Linked DNA regions of Nothobranchius furzeri. The protein of the gene in region 1 interacts with the protein of each later gene in a biochemical or structural test. Links are inferred from orthologs where the notes say so. Each region holds a gene or a part of one and is shown on either strand. Other genes may lie near its edges.

Evidence for each region.
Region 2: the proteins of eps15 (region 1) and numb form a complex in vitro, tested with the Homo sapiens proteins (2 studies listed by BioGRID and IntAct, with this or other methods). The link is inferred for Nothobranchius furzeri from reciprocal best matches to the Homo sapiens genes EPS15 and NUMB.
Region 3: the proteins of eps15 (region 1) and sgip1a form a complex in vitro, tested with the Homo sapiens proteins (2 studies listed by BioGRID, with this or other methods). The link is inferred for Nothobranchius furzeri from reciprocal best matches to the Homo sapiens genes EPS15 and SGIP1.
Region 4: the proteins of eps15 (region 1) and epn1a form a complex in vitro, tested with the Homo sapiens proteins (4 studies listed by BioGRID and IntAct, with this or other methods). The link is inferred for Nothobranchius furzeri from reciprocal best matches to the Homo sapiens genes EPS15 and EPN1.
Region 5: the proteins of eps15 (region 1) and fcho1 form a complex in vitro, tested with the Homo sapiens proteins (2 studies listed by BioGRID). The link is inferred for Nothobranchius furzeri from reciprocal best matches to the Homo sapiens genes EPS15 and FCHO1.

Annotation. Positions count from the first base shown.
Region 1 is NC_091748.1:56,887,328-56,892,390, forward strand, and holds the start of eps15 (epidermal growth factor receptor substrate 15), read right to left. Parts: upstream 3,252-5,063; 5' UTR 3,237-3,251; coding exon 3,081-3,236; intron 826-3,080; coding exon 784-825; intron 360-783; coding exon 270-359; intron 1-269. UniProt on the Homo sapiens protein: Involved in cell growth regulation. May be involved in the regulation of mitogenic signals and control of cell proliferation. Involved in the internalization of ligand-inducible receptors of the receptor tyrosine kinase (RTK) type, in particular EGFR.
Region 2 is NC_091758.1:16,940,827-16,945,830, forward strand, and holds the start of numb (protein numb homolog), read right to left. Parts: upstream 3,154-5,004; 5' UTR 3,049-3,153; intron 2,224-3,048; exon of another isoform or gene 2,068-2,223; intron 2,062-2,067; exon of another isoform or gene 1,871-2,061; intron 1-1,870. UniProt on the Homo sapiens protein: Regulates clathrin-mediated receptor endocytosis. Plays a role in the process of neurogenesis.
Region 3 is NC_091748.1:68,168,240-68,173,346, reverse strand, and holds the start of sgip1a (SH3-containing GRB2-like protein 3-interacting protein 1), read right to left. Parts: upstream 3,154-5,107; 5' UTR 1-3,153.
Region 4 is NC_091745.1:76,098,500-76,103,339, forward strand, and holds the start of epn1a (epsin-1), read left to right. Parts: upstream 1-1,687; 5' UTR 1,688-1,765; intron 1,766-4,840. UniProt on the Homo sapiens protein: Binds to membranes enriched in phosphatidylinositol 4,5-bisphosphate (PtdIns(4,5)P2). Modifies membrane curvature and facilitates the formation of clathrin-coated invaginations. Regulates receptor-mediated endocytosis.
Region 5 is NC_091748.1:67,314,107-67,319,086, reverse strand, and holds the start of fcho1 (f-BAR domain only protein 1), read left to right. Parts: upstream 1-1,827; 5' UTR 1,828-1,930; intron 1,931-4,980. UniProt on the Homo sapiens protein: Functions in an early step of clathrin-mediated endocytosis. Has both a membrane binding/bending activity and the ability to recruit proteins essential to the formation of functional clathrin-coated pits.

The sequences.
Region 1 (5,063 bases):
CTAACATTAGTTCTGCCAGCATTCCAACACAACTAGAACTCCCACTAGCAGTCACTATGACGATTGGCATTCTGACCGTTGGAATGCGAGGCTGGATATAGAGACAAAAATAACAATATTTCTTTATTGATATTTGATCAATGTTAACATGAAAATTAAAGGACACATAAGTCAGGAAGCAGTCAAAACGACTGCCTTTGGAGTTCTACTGTTAACCCTGAAGCCAAGACAGAGACGCTAAGTTGGGATTGAGACAAAACTTAGCTCACCTTGCCCAAGACCATGTCAGCCAACCCTGACCGCTTCAAGAACAGAGCCGCATCAGCTGCCGCTACCCGCCCGCTGCCAGTGGGATCCACCTGCATGCACGCCCACAGCAGCATGTTTAATGTGCATGACGCTCGGATGCACAGGTTCTGAATAAAGAGCCTGTGTCTCACTTTAACCAGAACTATTATAATCTCTGTAGTATTAGCTCAGCACTCCATTAGAAAGCCCAGAGGGAGCTTCCCTGAATGGTTGTCAAAGGGAAACATTATTAATTCATAGGCTGGAAAAGAAAAGGCAGAAGAGAGAACTCACCAGTGAAAGCTCTACAGCTAATTTCAATTTTAAATTCACAAAAGCAACAGATAAAAACGGTTGTTCTGTGTTAGTCTGTTTGAATTTGACACAACTGAATGACATTGGTTAAAAAAACTACTGATATTTAAATTGCTATAATAAATATTCATGCTTATAATATAATTTAACAAAGGGAAGAGGAGTGGTCGTTTCCATTACCTGTCGATAATGTTTGTCATAGATGGGATTTCCACTGGAAAGCTGAAAACAAATAAAAGCATGTTTGTAAATTTTGCAAACCTCATTTGATGCGTTTCATAGAGTCCAAAACAAAATTTTAAAGTGTCAGTTACAAAAACCTAAAATGTCTGTATTTCTCTAAGAAATCTTTTTAGTTTACAAATTTGAATAAAATATAATCTGGCAGCTAGAGAAAATCAGTCAGAAGATCAAAAACTGAAAACGTTAACCACAGAGTTTAAAAAGCCACAGAGCCACTAGAGTACATGCACCAGTAGATTTAACCTTTAAATTTAAAATATTATAAAGCCTAAAATATGCCACAAAATGTTAGCTTATCCCAGAACTGATCATAATTAATCAGTAAAACCAAAGACACGTTGAAGTAATGCCACTTTTGTGAAGAACAAGTGATGCCACTACTGGGATTCTTGATTGTTGAATAATTAGATTTTCACTGTTACAGGTTCTAAGAGGTGAGTCTTTATTCATGCAAAAATTAAATGACAAACATATCTTTGTGTTTTTTATACAAAGCAAAGTTAATCATTATTTTCTGGTGATGAAACTGCAAAGCAAGGCTAACTGATACTAAAGCTCTGAGCTGAATTACCATGACGATACCTTCTGGAAGCCTGTGATTTGTGTTCAAACTAAGCCACAAGATGTTAACACTCGAGAGTAATTTGCTTTTCTGATGTAATATCCCTTCTTTCCTCTTCTCATCTGAGCTAAACAGGAAACAAATCAGCATTTCCCTGTTTTTAAACTAAAAATGCTAAATGGTAGCTTCCATGAAATAGAGAAAAGGAGTGGACAGCAATTATCTGGTAAGTGGATGTGCTGAGGAGCAGTCTTAAAAGCTTTCCTTCCATCTCCAAACCAATATGAAGATGAAGAAGAAAACAGCAACATCAGCTTAGGAGTAAATTATGTAACCAACTCTGGCACATAAGAAAAAAAACATAGCCTGTCATCAGCAGTTGTCTGTCAGCTACTTTGGACAACTAAATGCCAATTTTAAAGTGAGATAACTGTTGACGCGCGCGCGCACACACACACACACACACACACACACACAGAAATTGTAACACAGTAGTGTGCCTGGAACTATCGATGGCTGTGACACTGTCATCATTGTACTGCACTCTTTAAAAAGCCATAAAGTGAAAAAAAACTATAACCATTATTGCATAGTTCATTCAAAACTTTGGCATTCAACAAGATGCATCATGTTGCATTTGTTAACAGGACAGGCTGGTTTCTCTTTGACATTTCAACATGTTTGATTGTCACAGCAATAAAATGGTAAACAGTGTCAGCAGAAACATGGAGGTCAGATTAGATACTAATCAGACAAGAAGCAGCAGCAATGAAGAGAAAACACAGAGACAACGCTGCTCCTGCTCTGTTGACAGAGGCAACAGAGGCTCGGGTGACCATACCAATTAAACTTGCCCGCTACCTGCTAAATAACTTACAATTCACCAACTTTGGGTTCTTCACCCAACTAGCAACAGGCTTTTACTTCTGACAGCAGAACGAGCTAGTGGCTGCCATAGTTAACTTCCTCTTACTGGTTTCAGAACGACAGTTTACATTATTTAAAGCTGCACTACTAAAAATTAACTCAACGTTTACATTAAATAATTGAACATAATAAAGTCTGTCCACTTCAAAAATGTCAAAGGAATAAAAACACATCAACCGAAGCACGTTTCATTCTATTTATAGCCATATCAAGTGTAACCATGCAGACAGCCATGGGAGTAGCAACGTAGCTTATAAAGCACACGAAAGCAGAAGATGCAACACAACATAACTAAAACTTGGAGCGAACGTTAACCAACTAAAATATGACAGCAGAGCCACAACAGAGAGCCACACATGGTTATCATCTTCTTAGCAAAGACCGGCTGGCCTGCGGCTAACAGAGGGTGCGCAATGTTGTTTTAAAGACTGCTAACCAAAGCCAAGTCACGTTAGCTAAACGTCAAGTTTGACAAAGAAGCCCCACTAACAGCCCCACACTGGACATAAACTAGCTGTTAGCAGGCAGGCTAGCTGGCTAGCTACGCCCTTACGCAGTCCCCAAAGAGATTAGACAGAAACTTTTCGCAGCAGGGCTAAAACTTCCCCAACACCGACGACGGTCGAGGAGAGCACTCGTTTCCGCCCGCCCAGTCCGGCCAGCACCACTGAGTTGGGCGCAAGTAACGCGGACAGAAGCCCGCGGCGTTCGTTGTCGTTATATTTGAGTTGTAAGACACTGTTACCTGAGTAAGAGACAAAGTGGCAGCCATAGTGTTTCTGTTTCCCACTGCTTTCAGGCTGCGCTGCTGCCAGACACAGACAGAGGCCGCTGAAAAACCTGGAACCGGACCCGAAATACAGAGTCGTCCAATCACACCCACTAACAGCAGGCCAGTCATTTAACCCTGGGCACGCCCATCGACATAATATACGGGCACACCCAAAAGGAGGCCCGGGGGCCCTTAGTGGCCCTCGGAGTGATTTTGTTTGGCCCATAGACTGTTTGGCCTCATTATTGAATTTCTAGAATGGTGGGATTTTGTCTCTCCTGCAGTCTGGTGATGTAGATAGAAACTTTGAGATTTTCATGATCAAACATTTTTATTAATGTGTATATTTTTGGTGTTTTGAACCATATAAAAACATAAAATAACTGCAGCATTATTAAAAAAAATTCAGTTGATTATTTTGCTCTTGAAAGGGTTGGACATTCCAATTTAAAGAGCAAGTCACTCCTACCAGACTCTTAAGCCTGGGGCACACTGAAGGCAGACGCACCGCACCCGCGCCGTCGTTTTAAATAAAAGCCATTATAGTTAATGAGAGTGGGTACACAGGGAACGCCGCGCGGCGTCCCAGAAGCGCTGTGCTGCACCTAGGCACTGAAGACAGGTGCCAGTTTTATCTCAAGTGCCGCGGCGCAGCTGTTTACAACATTGTGGAGTACTTTACAACAGACATTACGACGTGGAATGGCTTTACGGCACAAACCCAACCACAGTTTTGATAACTTCAAATTTAAATAAATAGCATACTTACCCATTTTTAATTAATTTGAGTCTCACAAAACATGACAGCAAGTCTGATCATGTATAAACAATAGAGTCACTTCCTTATTTCTGTTCTCAAGTCCAACGTGATGTTGTGACTATTACGCGACTTTCCAAGAAGCGTTCAGCAGCTCCGCCTGTGTGACCACTTGACTTCTCAAAATCTCGAGAGTGACGCAGCGCGTCTCCCTCCGGCAACAAATACTGCTGCCTGGCAGACCAGCTCAGTGACCTAGTGGTAGAGTGACCGCCCTGAGACTGGGAGATCAGGGTTCAATTCCTGGTCGGGTCATACCAAAGACTTTGAAAAAATGGGACCCAATGCCTCCCTGCTTGACACTCAGCATTAAGGGGTTGGACTGGGGGGTTAAGCCACCAAATGGTTCCTGAGCACAGCTGTGTCTGCAGCTCACCGCTCCCCCAGGGTCAATTGCGGAGAACAAATTTCGCACACCTCCTCCTTGAACCGTCACCTTATTGTGGTGGAGGAGTTTGAGTGCCCTAATGATCCTAGGAGCTATGTTGTCTGGGGCACTTAGTGCCCCTGGTAGGGTCTCCCATGACAAATTGGTCTTAGGTGAAGGGTGAGACAAAGAACGGTTCGAAGGATCTTTCATGGCGGTGAAAACGAAGAGTCGGAGTACCCGGCCCGGAGGGTTACCGGGGTCCCACCCTGGAGCCAGGCCTGGGGTTGGGGCCCGTGAGCGAGCGCCTGGTGGCCGGGCTTTCGCCCATGGGGCCCGGCCGGGCCCAGCCCGAACCGGATACATGGGCTCGTCCAACTGTGGACCCACCACCCGCAGGAGGAACATGAAGGGTCCGGTGCAATGTGAATCGGGTGGCAGACCAAGGCGGGAGCCTTGGCGGTCCAATCCCCGGACAAGGAAACTAGTTTTTGGGACATGGAACGTCACCTCGCTGGCGGGGAAGGAGCCGGAGCTTGTGGCAGAGGTTGAGCGGTACCGGCTAGATATAGTCGGACTCACCTCGACACATTGCATTGGCTCTGGAACCCGAGACCTGGAGAGGGGTTGGACACTCTACTTTGCTGGAGTTGCTCCGGGTGAGAGGCGGAGGGCTGGGGTTGGCTTTTTGTTAGCCTCGAGACTCTCTGCCTGTGTGTTGGGGTTTACCCCGGGGGACAAGAGGGTAGCTTCCTTGCGCCTTCGGGTCGGG
Region 2 (5,004 bases), on another chromosome or scaffold:
ACACTGGTACAGTACATGCGAGTGAAATTCTTGTGTGCGAGCTTCACAGCAACAGAGTTGTGCAAAAATACAGTAATGTAAAAACAAGTAAAATATAAAAATGGCTAATCTAAGTATACAAATGAATAAAGTAAACAAGATAAGAGATATAAAATGTACAGAGGTTGGTATGTGCAAAACAGTGGCATTAATGTACAGTATGGAGTGTGTAATGTTGGAACTTGGTGGAGCTCGCGACGAGGCAGCCATACTCGACGCCATCTTGGCTCATCAATATATGATATAATGGTTTACAAACACAAAAGGGTAATTTATTAGAGTACTCGATTAATCGAAAAAAATATTCGATAGAGTACTCGATTACAAAAATATTCGATAGCTGCAGCCCTAGTGTGCAGACAGCATGCCCCTCTTTGTGAAGATGAAAGGGTATCAAATGCTACACGGACGTTTGAAGGGGCTAACAGAAACAATAATATGCAACTCCCTTTGAATTCCATCTTGCTTGCGTCTTCTCTGTGCTCCAAAACAGCTAAAGAAGCAACTTGTTTTCAAACCAACTCACTAAAAACTCATAAGCAAACACCCGTACATGACAGAAAATATCATGCACATTAGGAAGCCGAGGAGACGGCCACACGGATTCTATTTGATCAGTCAACAAAACAAAGAATCAATCAAAACTGAGCTAAACGGATGCTGATTTCACCACACACAGGTAGGCACGACTATCTGAGGACAGGTTAGCCTGGTGAATGCATTATCATTGCACAGCAGGTTTATCTACCTGTGTTGCATCATTTGCATGCAAAGCTCACTGCCAAAAGAGCTCTTTTCTCTTGACAGCAGCGCAAGATGATAAGGGTAATGCAAGTTTCTCAGAGAATCTCTAAACCACAGAAAGATACATGCTCCTGTGTTCTCCTTCGCCTCCCTCGAATAGCTGACATACTTAGACAGTGGGTTCAGTGGAAGATAACCAGACAACTCCCTTTTTGGTAAACGATGGGAGAAAAATCTGCCATTTTGCTCCATTTTTTCCACTTCAGAAAAAACTACTGGGCTTAAACCGATGAATGAATAGGAATAAACATGGCTGACAGTAGTTGTCTTGTTTCTGTAGACTTGTAAACAAAAAGTGAGATTTGATGTTTAAGGGGCCTAGCTATGTGCTGTTTTGTTTTTTTTTTCATCTTGAATTTATACAATTACACTTATCCAACCAGAATAAAAATATTATTAGCAAACAAACACTATTCCCTCATAATGAACGACAAAACAGCATGTCATGATACCATCAAGGGAATTGTGATGGATCCAAACTTCCTGACAACATTCCCATCTGAATAACCTGGGCACATCATCCTCCTGCTCCTGGATCTGTTAGTAGGAGGTAATCTGACTACTGTGTTTATCTGCTCACAGATACAACCAGAGTAGAATGAAGAGTGAGCAAGATCTCACCAAGATACCATCACCTTACGCGATCACATTAACGCACCTTAAACCATCCAGCGTGTTAAGAGCATGAGTCACGGCTGATCCAGGACCTGTCGTTTCAGCCTCATTAACATGTTCAGAGCTGAACCAGTTACGCCTTTTTTCCCCGGAACGTGCTAAGTCACTTCAGTTTACAGCTAAATAAACCCACTCTTTCTTTAGCACACAACGTTTTAACAATAATATTACACACCAGCGACGTCGTGACAACAAACCAGCTCGGTGGCTGCACACTCCAGCCGGAGTGACGTCCATCTCTTAAAAGTTATCCTGGTAACTTGAAAGTGGTGAGCTAACTAGCTAAATATCATCCCATCTCAGACTGCCACATACAGAATGACATCTCCTTTGTTTGTGAGAGAAATCAGACCTCGGAGCTTGCATTAGCCTCTTCTGCCATGTAGTCAGGGTAGTAAAAGAACAGAATAGTGTCACGTAACCGGGAGCTAGTGTAGCTTGGTGCGCAGGGAGGGGGGGACTAGCGCAGCTTAGCTTGGGAGCTAACGGTTAACTAGAAACGCTCGTCCTATCAACACAGAACGTCTTTTGTTTTTTCTTTCAACATACCTGTGACCACCTCTGCGACCCAGAAGGATCCCCACCGAGACCGTCACCTGTGAGTCACGAGCCGTGCCGTGCCAAATAATTCAAATTCCACAAAAAAGTCTCGGAGAGACCCGAGCAGTCCAATCGCTTCAGTCACCGCCGCTGAATGGCTGCGACCCGGAGACTCAACCAAACCTCCTCCTTGGCAACGGACCGCCTCCGTGCGAGGCCATTGGCTGGCGCGCGCTGATCGGAGGTGATCGATAGCTGATTGTAACCTGGGCCGGAGTCAGTGACGCAGTTGTGAGCGGAACAATTACCACATGCGCAGAGACGCTCATTTTTGCTGTGAAACGGAAGCCACAACAATTATGGGTGGATATAAAGACAACGTTTTGTCAATGAAAAATCAGAATCTTACATGTTTACAGGTGAGACTGGAACCATTAGTTCAGTTAGTCAACTTAAAAGGTGAAACTAACATATTGGAATAATTCCAGGCAAAGACAGAAATTTCAAGCCTTTATTTGTCATAACTGTAAAGATTATGGCTTACAGTTTATGAAAACCCCAATATCTAAATCCTAGACCATTAATATTCTAGGCTAATCGGCTTGATCGGAAACACATGCAAAGGGTTCCTGAGCCTTTAGTCTTTAGCCTCTCAGTCTACGTTTATTTACTGACATAAATTAATTTTTGCACCAGATTCTAGTTTTATTGTTTTTTTTATTTGTTTAAAACACTGGTGATTAATTCAGGTTAACTGTAACCCCCATCACACACGCACGCACGCACACACACACACACACACACACACACCTGATGATCACACACTGGCCCCTTCAAAAGGCCAGAAGTTTATCAGCATTCCTCACAAATAGCTAAAAGGTTACAGAACAAGCAGAAACACACACACACACACACACACACACACACACACACACACACACACACACACACAAGGCTAAAAGTAGTTGGACCTGTTTTGTAGATTCTTACCTTAGCTGTGGTGAAGAATCTGTTGCTGTCCCAGATTAACTATGCCTCTTTATCTGTGACTGTTTTTTGTTCTCCGTTAAGTTTCTCTTCTGATTCTGTTTCAAGGTTTTACAGCAAAGAAGCACCGATCAACCTGTCCCAGAATTTTCCCTTTGAGCCTCACATCCCCTCTTTTGTTAGGATGGGCTGCCTCCTGCTGGAAGGTTGGACTGTCATCAGGTCTTTTTTCTTGAACCTGAGATCCTTATAAAATAATCTAATTAATGCAGGCGAAACAGCATTTCAATATAAAACAGACAAATGAATATAATTCTCATAACTATATCCAATACAGTCCACCCAGAACAGAGATGAGAAACAAATCTGTCAATAATTTTTATTTTTAGCTGAACATACTTTTGATGTGCTTAATTTTAGCCCGACCACAGGCTGCAGAACAGAGCAAAACATATATGTGGCTCAGCAGCCACAGAAATCTCCAGGGTTGTTATTTTGTAGGTCAGAACCTTTAAAGTTCATGAACCTTTGTTAGCTGCAGCTAAGGATTAGGGTTACCGGGGTCAACGGGAATTAGGGGTTAGAGATTTGTGTTCTAGTGATAGGAGCCTTCATTTACTTAGGCTGACCTTTCAACTTCACCTCACCTTTCATCATGCTGTGACATAATTTTATGACCTTTCTAGGATCTCAGTATCACAATCTGTCCATGCTGTGAAATAAAGTATCTCCATAATCTGACTTCTCAAACATTTGGATCTTATGGTTCCTGGGTTTTGTTAGCAGGAAAAAGGAGGATTGTGTTTTTTTTCTCAAAAAGCAATCATTAAATTCTGGCTGAACAAAGTGAGTCGAGGACCTCTGCCATACACCTTTATCTACAGACACATAACAAAGTAACTCGCACCAAAGCCTACCGACTAGCTGTAAGACCCGTGGAGGAACCTACTGGATTAAGTGTGTGTGGGAACTGGTAACACGTCCCTCACATCACTGTAGAGGAGTCTTGTCCTGCTCTTCTCCACAGAACAGTCTGAATTCAGCTCCATTAAAGGGTTCTCCAGCAGATATGGCCTGTTTAAGGTCAGATGCTCTCATTCAGGATGTCCTGCTAGAGAACAGAACCCATGGTTCCATCAACAAGTGTTCCAGGTCCTGAAGTAGCTAAGCAGCCCCAGACCATCCCACCACCACCACCGTGTCTGACTGTCACTGGTTCACAGAGCACCTGGTTGGTCTGGAGTCTTGTTCACTTAGTAAATGAACTCTTGTGTGAAAACTGTCTGAAATATTAATTGGTGAATGTGTTCACCAGCTCTTCTCTGATTAAACCCCGTCTCTCTCAGGATCTTGAGCTTCTTGCTCCTCTTTAACCACAGCACATAACCAAAATTTAATCACAATTCACCACTGATATGTCAGATAGCATCATTCTGTGCTCATTCCTGTAGTCTCACTCTGTTTCCTACCGGTGCTGCAGCAAAGTCTGGATGAGGGTGTCGTTCGACTTCCTGATCATCAAAGCCACCCTCTAATGATCAACTCTTCCTGAAGCACAGAGAGCACGTCTCAGCACTGGGCTCATCCTCTGGACACCACGAAGCATTAAAGCAAATGTCACAACAGGATTTTAAATCGTGTTTATTGATGCTTCAGAGAGCTGTTTTTAGATAAAACAAGAAATTCTATTTTAAATAACTCCATGTTTCTTAGTCACCATGTTTTATTTCCCAAACCACATGTAGGTTACTTTACACATAAACAAGCTGCTTCACATATTTACACAGATCTTTGTAGAGACAGAAAAACAATTCTAATCATTAAAAACAACATTCTTTGGGTCTGACCGTGCAAAAGAATAATAAAGTCCTGCCTCTGACTGGAATGGGGACTTCGGGACTGCTGTGTAGCACTAGAACACTCAGGTCTTGGATTTTTGAGATAAAGAGCGGCCCGGTC
Region 3 (5,107 bases), about 11 Mb from region 1:
TTGGGTTCAACCCTTTCATTTGTGATGAGTTTTAACTCTGAGTTGAGAAGTTTTAAAGGGAAAAACTCTGAGTGATCCACATGGATCTTTGGCTGATGTCAACTTAGTTGACTCTGTTTTAAGGTTAACTCGGTTTTAGTTTTTAGACTTTTATCAACTTTGTTGTGTTTTTAAAACACCTTTGGTTTAGGTAAAACATTTAATAAAGTTTTAACCAGGTGTTTTATATAGTTGATGAATTGTCTTTTAACTGTTAACCTTATAGTGAATTTTTCGTTTTGCATAATTTTAATAATGCTCGCCATCTGTTTGCACTTGTTTTTAGAACCTTTTATAACAATTAAACCCGTTTTAACTCCACTATCACATTTCTTATGTTGCCCCCTCCTTCACATTTAAACACCTCCTGTCGGGGACGTAACCCCTCCATTACTTCCACATCCAGACATCTTTAACCAAAAAGGTAATGGTTGCTGTATTTGGCTTCTAGTTCTAATAAAATAAAAATCTTCACCATTTTTACAGTATTTATTCAGATGTCTGAATTTGAATTTTTTTAATTTAAAAATGCTTAAAAGTTTCAGGAAACTGTGTCAACCCTTAAATAAGACTTGGTATTCTATTATTGTAATGTGTGTTTTAGTTTGAACTTGGTGATGTAATACTAACTGAAATAGTCATGGTCAAACATAACATATAAATTACCTCTCATGGCAAGTTTTTCATTGATCTTTCAGTTTTTTGATGACGTGAACATTTTTGCTTTTTCATCGTTTCCTCAAAAGGGCAAAATAAAAGCCTTCAAGACTTTTTCGAACATTTTTAATCAGTTTTCTGTTTTTTGCTCCTTTCTCCTTTCCAATAAATCCACTTTGGCTCCAAATAAAAGCCGACAGATTTACAGCAGTGCGAGGGAAAGTATTCAGTAGCATACAGATGGCAGCTTCACACCGCATGCATTTAAAAGAACACACCAAGAAAGGAAAGTTAAGCATGCATGAGCTGCAGCAGAGAAGAAAAATTAAAGATACATGCTTGAGACGCGTATGAGGTGAAGTTTAAAAAGGACTCCCAATCAGAGGAATGCTAATTCAAGTGCTGGCATAATTAGTGGTGTATCCTCAAGACACAGCAATTCCAGGAAACGCCAAAAAGTTTTAATCCAAACAAGAGAAAAGTTCCCAAACCTAAAATAAATTAGGCCAACAAATTATTTCAAAAACTCTCAACTGTTCAGAGGATTTGCACAATAAAAAGCTCATAAGAATTCCTCTCCAAGCATTGTTTAATAGTTTTAACGCTCACCTGTTCTCTAAGAAAATGCGTAACTCAGTCTGGATTTTCCAATATGTGAAAACAAACTCACAGCGGGAGGAACGTCACTCAGAGCAGAAGCAAATGTGTTATTATAATGTTGTTCCACCCTTCAGCCTACAGGAACTAGTTTTTACAAACACAAACAACATTAAAACACTACAATTGTGTCATTGTCGCTATTACATTTAGCTTATGTGTAAATGGCATAACAAATAACAGCTTAATATTTAAAAATGAGCAAAAATAAACTTTAAAATAGAAACAGATTATCCATATTTATCTTTAAAACTCTGACAAAGGCGGAAGTTCTGGCTGAAACATGTCAGCCGAAGGTAAAGAAGCATCTATTTACTTCACTGTGTTAAATAAGAGAAAAGAAGATAATTAAGTAACAGATTAAGTTTTGTCAGAAAATAAAGTCTAAATCTTTGTTGTACCTGTTTAAGGTCTGCATCAGTTAAATAGTAAATGGCCTGCATTTGATATAGGGACTTCTAGAGTCCTGGAACCCCCCAAGGCGCTTTAAAACACTATCAGTCTTTCACCCTTTCACACACACATTCACACCCTGATGGGGATGAGCCACAATGTAGCCACAGCTGCCCTGAGGTGCACTGACAGAGGCGAGGCAGCCGAGCACTGGCGCCACCGGTCCCTCCAGCCACCACCAGCGGGCAAGGAGTGGTTAAGTGTCTTGCCCAAAGACACAACGACAGCGACAAACTGAGCGGGGCTCGAACCTGCAACCTTCCGATTACGAGGAGATCATTTAACTCCTGTGCCACCATCACCCCAGTTACTTTTTTCTTTTCATTTCACAGTTGGATTTTAAGTAATTGATTATTTTGGTTAATTATCAGTAAAAATTGATCAAGTAAATAGCTTTCATTTGATTTGTATTAAAGGGGCATATTATGCCTTTTTTCTTAAGTTAGAATAGTTTTATGGTAGAAAAAAACATGTTCATGAAGTTCTTTGCACTAAATCCGTCTCACTGAACAATTTCAGCAGTTTTATTATCGGCCATTTCAGTATCTTCCAGAATGAGCCATCTCAGTGTTCTATCATTTTAAGAAAACAAGCTGTTGCTGGCCACGCCCACCCATCCCCCGCTCAGGCTGCTATAAGCTAACAAGCTCAGATATCAGGGAGGGGCTTGGAGTAGGGTTGCTGCTCCTCCAGCAGCATCTCTTTGTTGCGCATGAGAGGTGGTTTTATTCTTCTACTACAGGGGTGGGGAACCCTGGTCCATAGAGGGCCGCTTTCCAGCATATTTTAATTTCAACCCTGCTTCAATACACCTGGTTTCAATCAGCAGGTGATTAACAGGCTTCTGCAGAGATCGATGAGCTGCTGCACAAGTGATTCAACCACTGATTCAGAAGTGTTGGAGCAAAGGCATGCAGGATACCGGCCCTTGAGGACCAGGATTCCCCATGCCTGTTTTACTACAAAAAGTTCCTGTTTGTGATGTCACAAACAGAGACTTTTTGAAATCGCTTGTTTTAGGCACATAGATTCTAGTCAGAGGATTTTATGTGATTTCCAATGGGTTTGCATGTTTCTATCTGCCAGTATAGGAAGTGATGTTTCATTCCCACATATACAAGAGGCAGAACAAGAAAATTTAAATGGATAGGTAAACAGTGATTCAGAAACACAAACCCCTAGAGATATTCACAAAAACCTGGACTCAAATTCTGACAGCTGCTCAGGACGCTCAAAGGATCGGTCTGTTTTTGGACAGGCAAAAGTTGTTTAACAAGCCTCCCCAAAGGGAGCAGAGATGAAGAGACTATCAGCCAACGAAGCAGTAACACACGCACGCACACACACACACACACACACACACACACGCACGCACACACACACACACACACACACACACACACACACACACACACACACACACACACACACACACACACACACACACACACACACACACACACACACACACACACACACACACACACACACACACACACACAGGGGCACAGCTTGCACTGCCAACTGCAGAGGAGAGGACACGGCCAGACCACTCCAGACTGAATGGGAGACCTGTGCTGCTGTGAATAGTAAGCAGTAAGGACAAAAATACAACATAGGCTTTTTTTAAAAAGATGTTTTTAGTAGAGATTAAATGTCTTTTGTTATTTAAATCCTAACCTGGGTAAATAAACAGTACGCTCTTGTGGCTGTACTTGTACGCATTTATCCCAAAAATGGATAAGAAAGTCTTTTCCATTCAGTAAGAGCCAGCGATGTGTGCATGTCTGAGCATGTTTAGAAAGAAAAACAGAACATCAGCAAAGGTCAAGCTGCTACGCAGCCATGATGATCCACAGACAGGCAGGTGGGTAAGTAAACATTAAGCAAGTAGTGTCGCGAAGGCTGGGAGGCAAAAAAAAAATCATGTAGAAATGGGAAGAAGAGTGGAATCAGTGAGACAGGAAGGCAGAAAAACTGTTCATCAGTGTAACAGACAAATAAAGAGATACGGTGGAAATGTTGCTTACAGAAGGCTAAAAACGACCTAAAATTGTTGGAACAAGGAGGAGGAAACAGGTGAGCAAAATGTGTTTAAATCCAATAATCCCAGAGGATGATGCAAAGCCCTGGAAGACAACTGGATAAAAATGTGAACCATAACCTACGAAGATGCACTATTTGGCAAAGTTAGAGCTAAATATTTAGTTTGGATTGTGACAACTGATAATACATCCAGCTGCACCAGATACAAAGATAGATGGAAACTAGTTTTGACTGAAACCAAATAAAAAATAAAAACCTTTTGCATTTCATCTTTATGACCATTTATTGCATTTTCTCTAACATTGTTATGATAATCTTCCATATTTATCCAATTTTAACTTAAAATGGGAAATTCTTACAAGAGAAAAAACATTCAGATGTAAAGCAAATCTCCAGAAATCAGCAGTGACAACTGAATCTCATCAGGCATGCCAGGAAAGCATCTGGATCACTAAGACAAAGCGAGGGTTTGCATTAAGGCATGGGGATGCTAAAATTAGAACGCGACCAGACCGTCCAGGTGGCTGCACCGTGAGATGACAAATCCAACACTTGTCATGCACCAACAGATCATGCACTAATACTTCTATTTGTAGACTAGACTATTGCAAGATCTGTTTGATTTAATATAATGCTACACACTTTCTAAAAAGGGGGTTATTTTGCCAAGTGACATCAGCCACCTCTAACAGAAAGTGGGTCAGGGCCAGAAATCATATATTAGTGTGTTGGCAGTTGGTTCACAGAACAAAGGAGTATGAAGATGGGGATGATGCATTCATCTGGGACTCTTTTTGCTTAAAATCCTTACAATTTCAATTAAACTGTCTGAATTCAATTTAACATCATGGTGGCAGATCTAGATCAAGCATGATGACATAAAACAGCAGCTTTTACATCAGAAAATGTGAAAAATATTGTAGCAATTTAAAGGTGAAACATGTAAGAATTTTACAGTGAAACAATCACAAAACAGTCTAATGTCTCAATCAAGTTGGAAGGAAGGTTACATTGAAACAGATTTCCTTCTCAGTTGCCTGGGGGGTTGTCAGTTTAGCTCCTTTTAAAAAAAAGTCTGGCTTAAAAGGACGCTGTCCTTCCTTGGTCAAACAGTTAAATGGAACACACTTGCATCACATGACTGCTGCAGAAGCCGCGGTCATGTGATGCAAGTAACGTCACGTGACACGAGAGGTAATGTTATACTTTATACATAAGTTTTAATATAAGTTTCCCTATAAATGTACAACGAGCC
Region 4 (4,840 bases), on another chromosome or scaffold:
GATTCTGATTCTGATTCTGATTCTGATTCTCTTAATCACTTAAGCCTTGTTTACACCAAAAAACCAATGCAGTCTGGATTCCCGACGCCTTTCACATACACCAAAAATCATTGAGTAATCAGATAATTCACATCGGCTCCAGCGCAGTGCAGATCCAGATGCGGACCACCAGAAAGTTTTCACATGGAGTCTATTCTTTCTGAACACCTCCTGCAGACAGTTATGTTGTTAATGAAATGACATGCCCCAAACAGGAAGACAGGCGTGTTTCTGTTAATATTAATTACAGCAACATCAGGTCACAGTGTATGATATTCACCTTTTTTTCACGAGTGTATCTTTAAGCGTATGATTTTCTGTGATGCTCAGCACATGAACTGCAGTCACTGTGAATGGCAGTCTGCAGAATGAAATCCAAGCTTGTAACACATGTATGCCAGCTGTTGGTGTTGCTGTCTTCTACAGAGTTTGTCTTGTGTTAATTATGAATTTACTGGCAGGTGAAGGCGGCTGTTCTGGTTTCATCTGAGGTTAAAGGTAGGTAAATGGTGCCTCTTTGTGGACAAGCCTGCTATCACACTCCAGAATAAATAAATCAGACTGATATGACATGTATCCGTTGTAACTAAATGGATTTTATTACATCTAAATTAAGATTTGTGTTTATTAGTTTAAACTTTCTCAACATCTTGCAACTTTTTGCAAATCAGTTAGTATGCTCTTGTGTCCCCTCTTTTTGGTCTAGGCTTTTTTAAGTGTATTATCATCAAAGTAGTAAACAGCGTAAACTGGATCTCATAAAAGTGAAATAAATATTAATCATGACTGAAATGATCTTCATGAAACAGGATTACACCAGCAGTAATTGGACTTGATTGTACAGTGAGTGTCACTGGATTTGCAATTAATATAATTCATTTTTGTAACTGTTCTGAGATGACTTTTTTTATTTTGTACAAATAATCAAATGCTTTTGTTTTTTAGTCACATTAAAGTGTTGCCTGTGAATCTATTTTTAACAGGGAGTTGTTACGCAGCAAATGCTAATAATTAATGGCTTAAAAATGTGGTACCTGTATTGGAACATAAGATTTTCCTTCATTATATAGTAAAAATACTTGTGTATAGACCTGTTTTGATTGCGGTAGTGTCACCCATGTTTGTAGTATACAAATTGCTATAAATGTTAGATATGAGTCTGATAAGATCATGGAAATAAAAGCTGTTTTAAAATAGCTTGTTGCAGTCTTCATGAATCAAGTCCAGGTAGAGTGACTTTTATTTAATTTTATTATTATTAATATTGTTGCTGTTGTTGTTGTTGATTATATTGTTTATGGTGTTGTTGTCATTCTTATATATTCATTTCACGTATTAATAAAAGTTTACTGCATTTGTGTATTTACCAGTAATCTTGTTTATTTTTCTTCCTTTTCTCTAAGTGTATGTGCTGCTGTAACGAGTGAATTTCCCCACTGTGGGAATAATAAATTCTATTCTATTCTATTCTATTCTATTCTATTCTATTCTATTCTATTCTGCATATTTTCACCAAATAAGATTTTTCCATAATATAACTTTATATTGCTTAGATTGCGTGGTATGACATCGTTAAAAGATCATATTCAATGTCATTTATTTGGTGATAAAACTGTAAATAATTATTAAATAAAGTTTTAAAAAAATCAGGAGGTGCGGTCTTTCCTGTAGGCGAGAACGGAAGCGGAAGTTCGGCCATCTCCTCGTACATCCAGGCTACAACAGGGTCAGTATTTATGTTATCTAGATGGTTATTTTGTCACGTTGTCAATCTTTTGTGACGTGTTGTCTTTTGAACGAGTGTAGCCGACGCTGTCCCAAAGCAGGAGGTGTCCCTGTCATCTAATTCTCACACAATGTAGCAGTCAGGTTGCGAATTAGCATCAGAAGCTAGTTCGCTAGCATCAAGTGATTTCTTTATCAATCAAACTGGCAGGTAACCTTCGAGTCTAGTCTGCTGTAACTCCTTGTTATGTCTGGAAATTTCATGGGTTTTTAGTAGATTGCCTGTTCGTGCCAAGCTGCACCCTCGTGTCCCATCTTGTGACTATTTTTTGCACAGACTTTTCAGAGCTGAGTAGCAAAGTGCTAGTCAACACTTTCGATTAGCTTGTGGTGAGAGTTGCTAAATGACAGCTACCGTTAGTTGGACGTTTTCGTTCATTCTTCCCAGTCACCATCGGACTTAGTGGCACAGTGATGCTAGTTTAATGCTGTAGCTCACGTTAGCAGCTGCACAGCTGTTTGATTGCTAACGTTTTTTTCGCTGATAGGGTGTACCAGCATAAACTGTAATTGTTTTACTGAGTAACGGTTGTTTGTCTTATCTCCGGGTGAGTTATCTGGGTGGGGGGGACTCTGGTGCGTCAGCTCCATGGAGGTTCAAAAGCAGAACAAACGAGTTGAAGTTTGATACCAACTTTTTAAAACATTTGTGTTTATTGTATTCGTTATTTATGTATTTAAATCCACCCATATGAACTTAAAACCTACCGTGTTTAATCGTTTTTATGGGATGTGCTGGGATATGACCCTAAAGTTGTAAACAATTCTTATAAACAACGAGCCTGAGCAAATGGCTTTCCTTCTGCAATGTGTACTTTCAGTATAGACCAAATTCAATCCAAAACTCCCTAGAAACATTTCCTTCGGTGCGTCCATGCTGCAGAAATGAAATCCACCTGAAGTACACTGTGTACTTGTACTTTGCCCAGATACGTGGCTATGGAAAAGCAGGCAAAGCGTGGTCACAGCTGATTAAAATAACCAAGAAACTAACTTTAGAAAAAGTTTGCGAGAGGAAAGGTTGAGAGTAACACCTGCTGATCCCGTTGGTTCTAGATCACTAATCTACTTGTAAAATGAAGGAAGTGGGATCTGCTTTCAGTACAGATTGTTGGTTCTGACCTTTATTCAGTGGGTGCTCTCTCTCTAGCTCTCCTGTGCTTGGCCAGCCAGCCAAGGCCTTGTATGATGATTGAAATGGTGAACTAACCTGCCTATTTGGGGTTTCCTTTTTGAGCAATTATGAGGTTATTCCTGTGAGATCAGCTCAAGAAAACATAGTTTTATATATTACACTTGAGATGCACAAAAACCCATTTGTTTGTTCCCAATCATACTTCAGTCTTAGAGCAATGTATTTGCTCCACAGTAAAACTAATCATGGTTATACTGAGCCTGGTAATGCAGTTTGCAGGGGAACTACCTGTTTTGGTGAAGAAGACTGAATGTAGTTTATTCATAATCTAGGCCATTTAGTTATGTCATGTTTTCTGTGTGATAAGGCATCTCCGTGTCAGTAATACTTGTGAAACAAAGATGGAGTGTTGTAGCCGAGAGCAGCAGAGTTTAAATGTAGTTAATGGAACTTGATATGTTGCTCTGGGTCTGATGTCTGAGAGCCAAAGGACGTGTTTCAGAACTTGTCTAAGATTAGGTGACGGACGTGAACTTGGTTGTTGAGTTTTAAGAGGCGCTAAACTGACTTTCATATCTTATACATGGCTTTTATGTAACCAATGCTGATGGAGATTTAAAACATGATGCCAGATGCAAAGTAATTTTATTTATTTATTTATTTTAATACCAACTTTCCAATAAAAAAGTTATACTCTGATTGCTGGACAAGTATAAAACAAGTTGTTGTTGATTTTGAGAGGGTAGTTTGTGTTAAACTTGATTTTTCCTGACATTCCTTTCAGCAGACCTGTGGTAGAGTTCAGTCTGGACCATCGGGTCTGGACTCATGTTTTGCTACAGCTGGGTCGGAGTGCAGAAAACTCAAGGTTTTCACGGGGAAAATAGCACTGAATCTCGGTTACCCAGCAAGGCTAGTCTCGGATGGTGATTATAAAGTGAAGTTTATTCATTTAGATGAAAGTTTTTGATAGATGAACATTTTCAGGTTAAACTTGATCCAACAACCTTCAATTTTTGTATTCATGTGTGGAGATATTCTGAAAATTTAGACTAATACTGGTAGCAATGGCTGCACAGTACTTTGATATTAGGAGTGCATATTGGCAAGAATCTAGCGCGATACCAGAGTTTCCCCCAGCACTTTTTTGCTTGGTCACCCGGCAGGCTAAGCGCTTTGTGAGAACATGTAGAACTTGTACAATTAGCTAGTAGTTGCAGTGTTTCCTTGAGTTTATTCTGCCATGGCCTCGTAAATGGCTTGGACGCGAGATCTTGGTGATGTCACAACACGTGGTTCTTGAGAGTGCAAAACTATTGACTACACGTGTCTGCAGCACAATTAGACATGCATTTATATAGTTAATCAGGAAAAAAAGTTGATTTGGGGGTGACTTGCTCTTTAAGATGTTTTTTGTTACAAGGGGGTGTGGCTTTGGCACAGCGTGCACCGGGAATCATTTTAGCATGGTTTGGTGAGAACATGTAGATTATGGCAGTGAAAGGATGCATGTGGTCAGCAGCAATTGTTCAGCCTGCTGTGTAAGCAATCTAGTGCAAACAAAGGCTCAGGAGACAGTGTGTGGACAAGAATTATGCAGGAGAAATGTACACATTAAACCTTTATTAGACATGAGTCCATTCTTTGTTGAAAAACCAGGTACTATACGTTTGGCATCATTGAAAAAGCAGATAGTGAGTATCTGCTGGTTTAATTTTTCACTTGTTCATATTATTGCAACCATTTGTCTTTAAATGTTGGCTCTATTGTTATTGGTGTTTAAAAGATTCATTCCCTCCAGGCTCATTCTCTCTCCGAGGGCTCCTGGATGTCTGGTCGTTTGTAGGAAAAGCTGTGATAAGGAATATTATTACCCAGTAA
Region 5 (4,980 bases), about 10 Mb from region 1:
CTCAAATAATTATCCCTCATTTAATTTGTGTTTGCAGATGGAGGGAAGAGACGCAGCCAATGCTGGCAAAGCTAAAACCCTAAACATGCATTTCAGCCTTCTTTAGGTCCTTTTACACTTTCCATGATGTTTTATTATGTTTTTGTTTATTGTATGTAGCTATTATTTTTTTAACTCTAACATTTGAAAGCTTATTTTTTCACGAAACTGTGGTCATGTTTTTATTCCTGTCAAATCTGAAGCCAGAAGAGATGATGAAGATCTAACCATCACCATTACTGAACAGGAAATGTACAGCGACCATGCAAAGTGGCACTTTTGACACTCTTCTGCTGCACGACTGAGGAGGAAATCAGGCATTGAGTGCTTCCAACAGAGCGCCCTCACTTCTCATGTGTGCAATATGCTAATAGCACCTGGGAGGACAAGTAAAGTCATGAGGCTCATTTAGTGTCAAAACACAAAATGCATTTTTGTTTGAATTTCACGGTGTCTAATAGAAATTAATCTGTGAGCTTTTGCATTAACAGTTTTAATGATGCACTCTCTAGCAGATACTCAAATTTTGCAAATTTTAAAGGAAGTTTCAGTTTCCTCTGAACTATTTTCAGTTGCAACAAACGTCAGAGCAATAACTGAGCAAAGTGAAACCGAACCTGGCTGCTCTGGAGCCTTTGGAGGTGGTTGTGAAAAGAAGAATATTGCACAAGCTGCTCAACATAATGAGTAGCAGCACAACGCCTCTGCACAACATGTTGGTTTAGGCACCATACTTGTTTAGTTAAAGGCTTTTCCTTCCCCACTTCAATAAGAACCAGCACAGGAGGTGGTTCCTGTGATGGAGACAATGACTTTGGATCAACAAAGGCAACTTTATGTGTGTGACTGTGATGCATGTGATTTTTTACGTTTTAACCCTGTGGTAGACGGTGTTTTGAAATTAGGACATTAACACATACCAGTTGTGAATTTTTAAGGTGGTAACAATGTTAAGGACAATCACTTGACTTGTGGCTGTTGTCCATGCTTTCGTTATTGCTATTATTTTATGACACGAAAGCAAACAAACATGTATGATAAAAATAACTGAACATTTTAAAATTAGTTTAGCCCTCCATCCCATTTCCTTTGAACAAAAGCATTCCAAGACAGCTTCTTTCCCCCCAAAAATAAGGACAATAAATAAACGGTTGCTGCAAGAAATCTCTTTGAACATCATGGATCATTAGTGCATATGTATGCTATATTTATATCTACTTTTTCTTTTTTCTTAGATGTGTTCTTTATCTGTATGCCCAAAATAGACCATTTGATTGCCTTCAAATTTAATTGTGTTCTCAATAAATTAAAGCTTTCTAATTATGATATTCATCACTGTTTGAAAATGAATCTTCAATTTGAGCTGTTTTACAATATCCTTCAAAATATTATAAGATATATGCATTCTTATTACATTTTCAGGGAATTGAGCTAAGCTTCACAATGTGTGATTATTTTTCAAGCACCTCAATATTTATAATAAATTTCAAAATTGTAATTAAAATGGACGAGTAACTGTTATATTTAGTTTAAATGTGTGATTTATTGACAAATAACACTACCACTCACATCCTTGGTGTCATACTTTTGTTCCAAAAGTATCATTGGCTGATTTTCTAACTGTGGTAACCATTGTCCAATCATATGCGAGTATACAATTTTCAGCCCGCCTTCGAGTGGTTGCTATGTCTACTACGCGTCTCTGTATAACTGACAGGCTGGGTAGCCAATCAGCATTGAGCTGGGCGGGCGCACGCGCTCACACTGGCAACTGTCTCATGAATTTGTACTACTATGATCAAACCGTACTGAGAGAGGTCGAGTGTTGGACCGAAGCAGCCCAAAGTCGGGATGGAAAATGAACGTTACGCTAACTGAACACTCTGTCCAGGTAAGGAAAGAGTTCCTCGTCTTGTTCCGTTCTCTTTACAGTGACTAATATTGAGAAGTGTCCGTGAAAGTACCCGCTAATTACGCTACGGTTTTTAAAATAGCATTAGTACACGCGCTTGTTTGACGTTTGAACGGAGGGAAATTTCGCTAACCCACAAAAGAAAAACAAAAACTAGACTAACATGGTCATGTATGGGTTTGAGATGCATAAAAGCGGACTCGTTTATTTTCTGTGTGTCTGGTGGGGTGAAAATATCATTTTGGTCAAGGTGGCTCTCAGTTTTGTTGTCAACCGGCATGACGAATGTGTTGTCCCACTGTCTGACGCTGCTTTCCTTTTATTTATTGTGAGATATTTATATTTCAAGCTTTTTACATAACTTATGAGTTATTTCTAATGTTGAAAGTTAGTTATTTTGAATTCACATAATTGTTATTTATGTGTTTTTAATATGAGCGCGCTGTGTTTGAAAGCTTATGTTAATAAGATTAATTAATATCGAAATGCTAGAAAATAGACTTTTAGGAAAGGTCAGAGTGGTACAGGTTAAACAAAAGCTTATTTACGTTCATACCGTCTAGAATTGAAATTTCAATACCTTTTTAATTTCAGTTTATTGTTCCTTTTAGTTTACTAAGGCAGCCACAGCTTTAAATGTGTCCTCATTAGTTTTTGTCATAAATCTCAGTCAAGTTCCTTTAAACTACTCTGTCAGAAACATAAAAATGAAACTTTACAAGAATTTTTAATAAATATGAACAAGAAATAATATTTTAAACAATATTTTTTTCTATATGAAAGTAAAAATTTACCTGCATATCATTTCATCTCACACTGACACACCTCCTCCATATTGCTCAATTGAAACTTTTTCCTGTCTGAAAGTAGAGTAACATCAACTCTTAAATCAAGTCTGTCCATCACGCTTGTGCCAAACTACTCATTAGCTGATTTTACTGTTGTAATTACTGATTTATTTTTATTTTTGAATCACGTTTCTTTCATCAGTTTAACAAGGTTAATCACTGGTTGCAAAAAAAAAAAACAAAAACTGGTGGGGAGTTTCCCTTTGAATGTTTGTTAGATGCTTATTTTTCAGTATGACTTACAAGTAAATTTTCCAACAGCTATAGGATAAACTAGTGTTTGCATAATGACACTGTGCTCAGCTACCTTCTTGAGCAGAAGTTGTTTTTCTGCTGTTTCTGCTTTTCTCCCTCTGTGTCTTAAAGCAAATGTCACAAGTTAAGATCTGCTGTGTCTTGATACCAAAAGGCCAAACAACACTCTCCTTGTGCCTTGACTTCTGCCAGGGAGAAACATTTTCAATTCAATTCAAGTTTATTTATATAGCGCCAAATCACGACAAGAGTCGTCTCAAGGCACTTCACATAATAAACATTCCAATTCAGGTCAGTTCATTAAGCCAATCAGAAATAATGTTTCCTATATAAGGAACCCAGCAAATTGCATCAAGTCACTGACTAGTGTCAGTGACTTTACAGCAATCCTCATACTAAGCAAGCATAAAGCGACAGTGGAGAGGAAAACTCCCTTTTAACAGGAAGAAACCTCCAGAGAATCCTGGCTCAGTATAAGCAGCCATCCTCCACGACTCACTGGGGGTCGAGAAGACAGAGCACACACACACACACACACGCACGCACGCACGCGCGAATAAACAGCAATGTTGTTTTACAGGAGTGTGAAAATATGACAAATATCAAAATACAGGGGAGACAATACGATATTGTGATGCTAAAAGCAAGATAATATTTGTTATTTTTAAGACTGAACATAGTAGTAAGACGCAGGCCAGACGCTTCCAAGACACATCCTGGACTAATCCCAATACTCACACGGTGACCTACGATCTCGTTGCGTCATTGACCATGACACATGCCAGGATGCCGGTCACTGTTTGTGCTACTTTATTTTAAAAATCTTTGTCAACAACTTTCATACAAACAATTGATAAAATTAAAATTCATTGCTGTCCACATTGAATTTTTGTCTAAAACATTCAGAGCATGAGCAAATATTAATCATCTTAAAATGAACTTCTTTCGTTTGAATATACATATAAGGAGCCCAAGTCTCCTCCCCTACTGGTTGGCTCATGGGTGCCTGGAAAAATGAAAAAAATGAATGCAAGTCAATGGAACTAAAAGAGCTATTTTCTAATCCGCTTTGGCTTACGCCCTGGATCGCACATATGTTGTACTTCAATTTGAATGAAAACTTTTGATGAATGTTTCAACCATGTCAGTCACGTACTTTGAGATTTATCAGCTTGTAAAAGTTCGTAATTAGCATGACTACAAATGAGACATCGGCATGTTGCATATATGACGTCTCCACAGAACCTCCTCTCCCCTAGCGTAGCTGCTACTTACCAAATGGCCAGATTTATGGTGGTTCTTTCCTTCTGAAGGAAGGATTTGAGGTTTGCTGAAGTTACAGCAATTTTCCATTCGTTTTTCTCCATGTCTGGTACGGTGACGTCAATTTCGTTAAGCGCATTTGTAGTTGAAATTATTTTCACACAAAAGATAAATAACGTTTCCCCCTGCTCAAAAATAAGCGCTTCCTTGGTATCAAAATGCGTCTTGAGTTCACAAACATCATATGTGAAATCCATGGCACAAAACAAACAGAATTAGAAAATAGCACTTTTAGCCCCATTGACTTGCATTAATTTTTTCGTTCTTCCGAGGACCCATGGTCCGGAAGTAGATGGGCGTGACTTAAGCTCCCTATTTTCATAAAACGCACCTGAGCCATTGTTCTGCCTTTTCAAAATTCCCACACAGTAGGGCTGCTCAATTATGGCAAAAATAGTGATCACGATTATTGTGACTGAAACTGAGATCTTGATTATTTAAGACGATTTTTCAATTTATGTTGATTTTATTTGCTTTTATTCAGTCAAAAATTGCTCAGGGAACAATCAGGAAAAAAATAAATAAGAAACAGGATGATCACTAAAATAACTCCTGATTCCCAGTATAAAAAGACCAATATACTTATAGCTCATAGTCTATGAC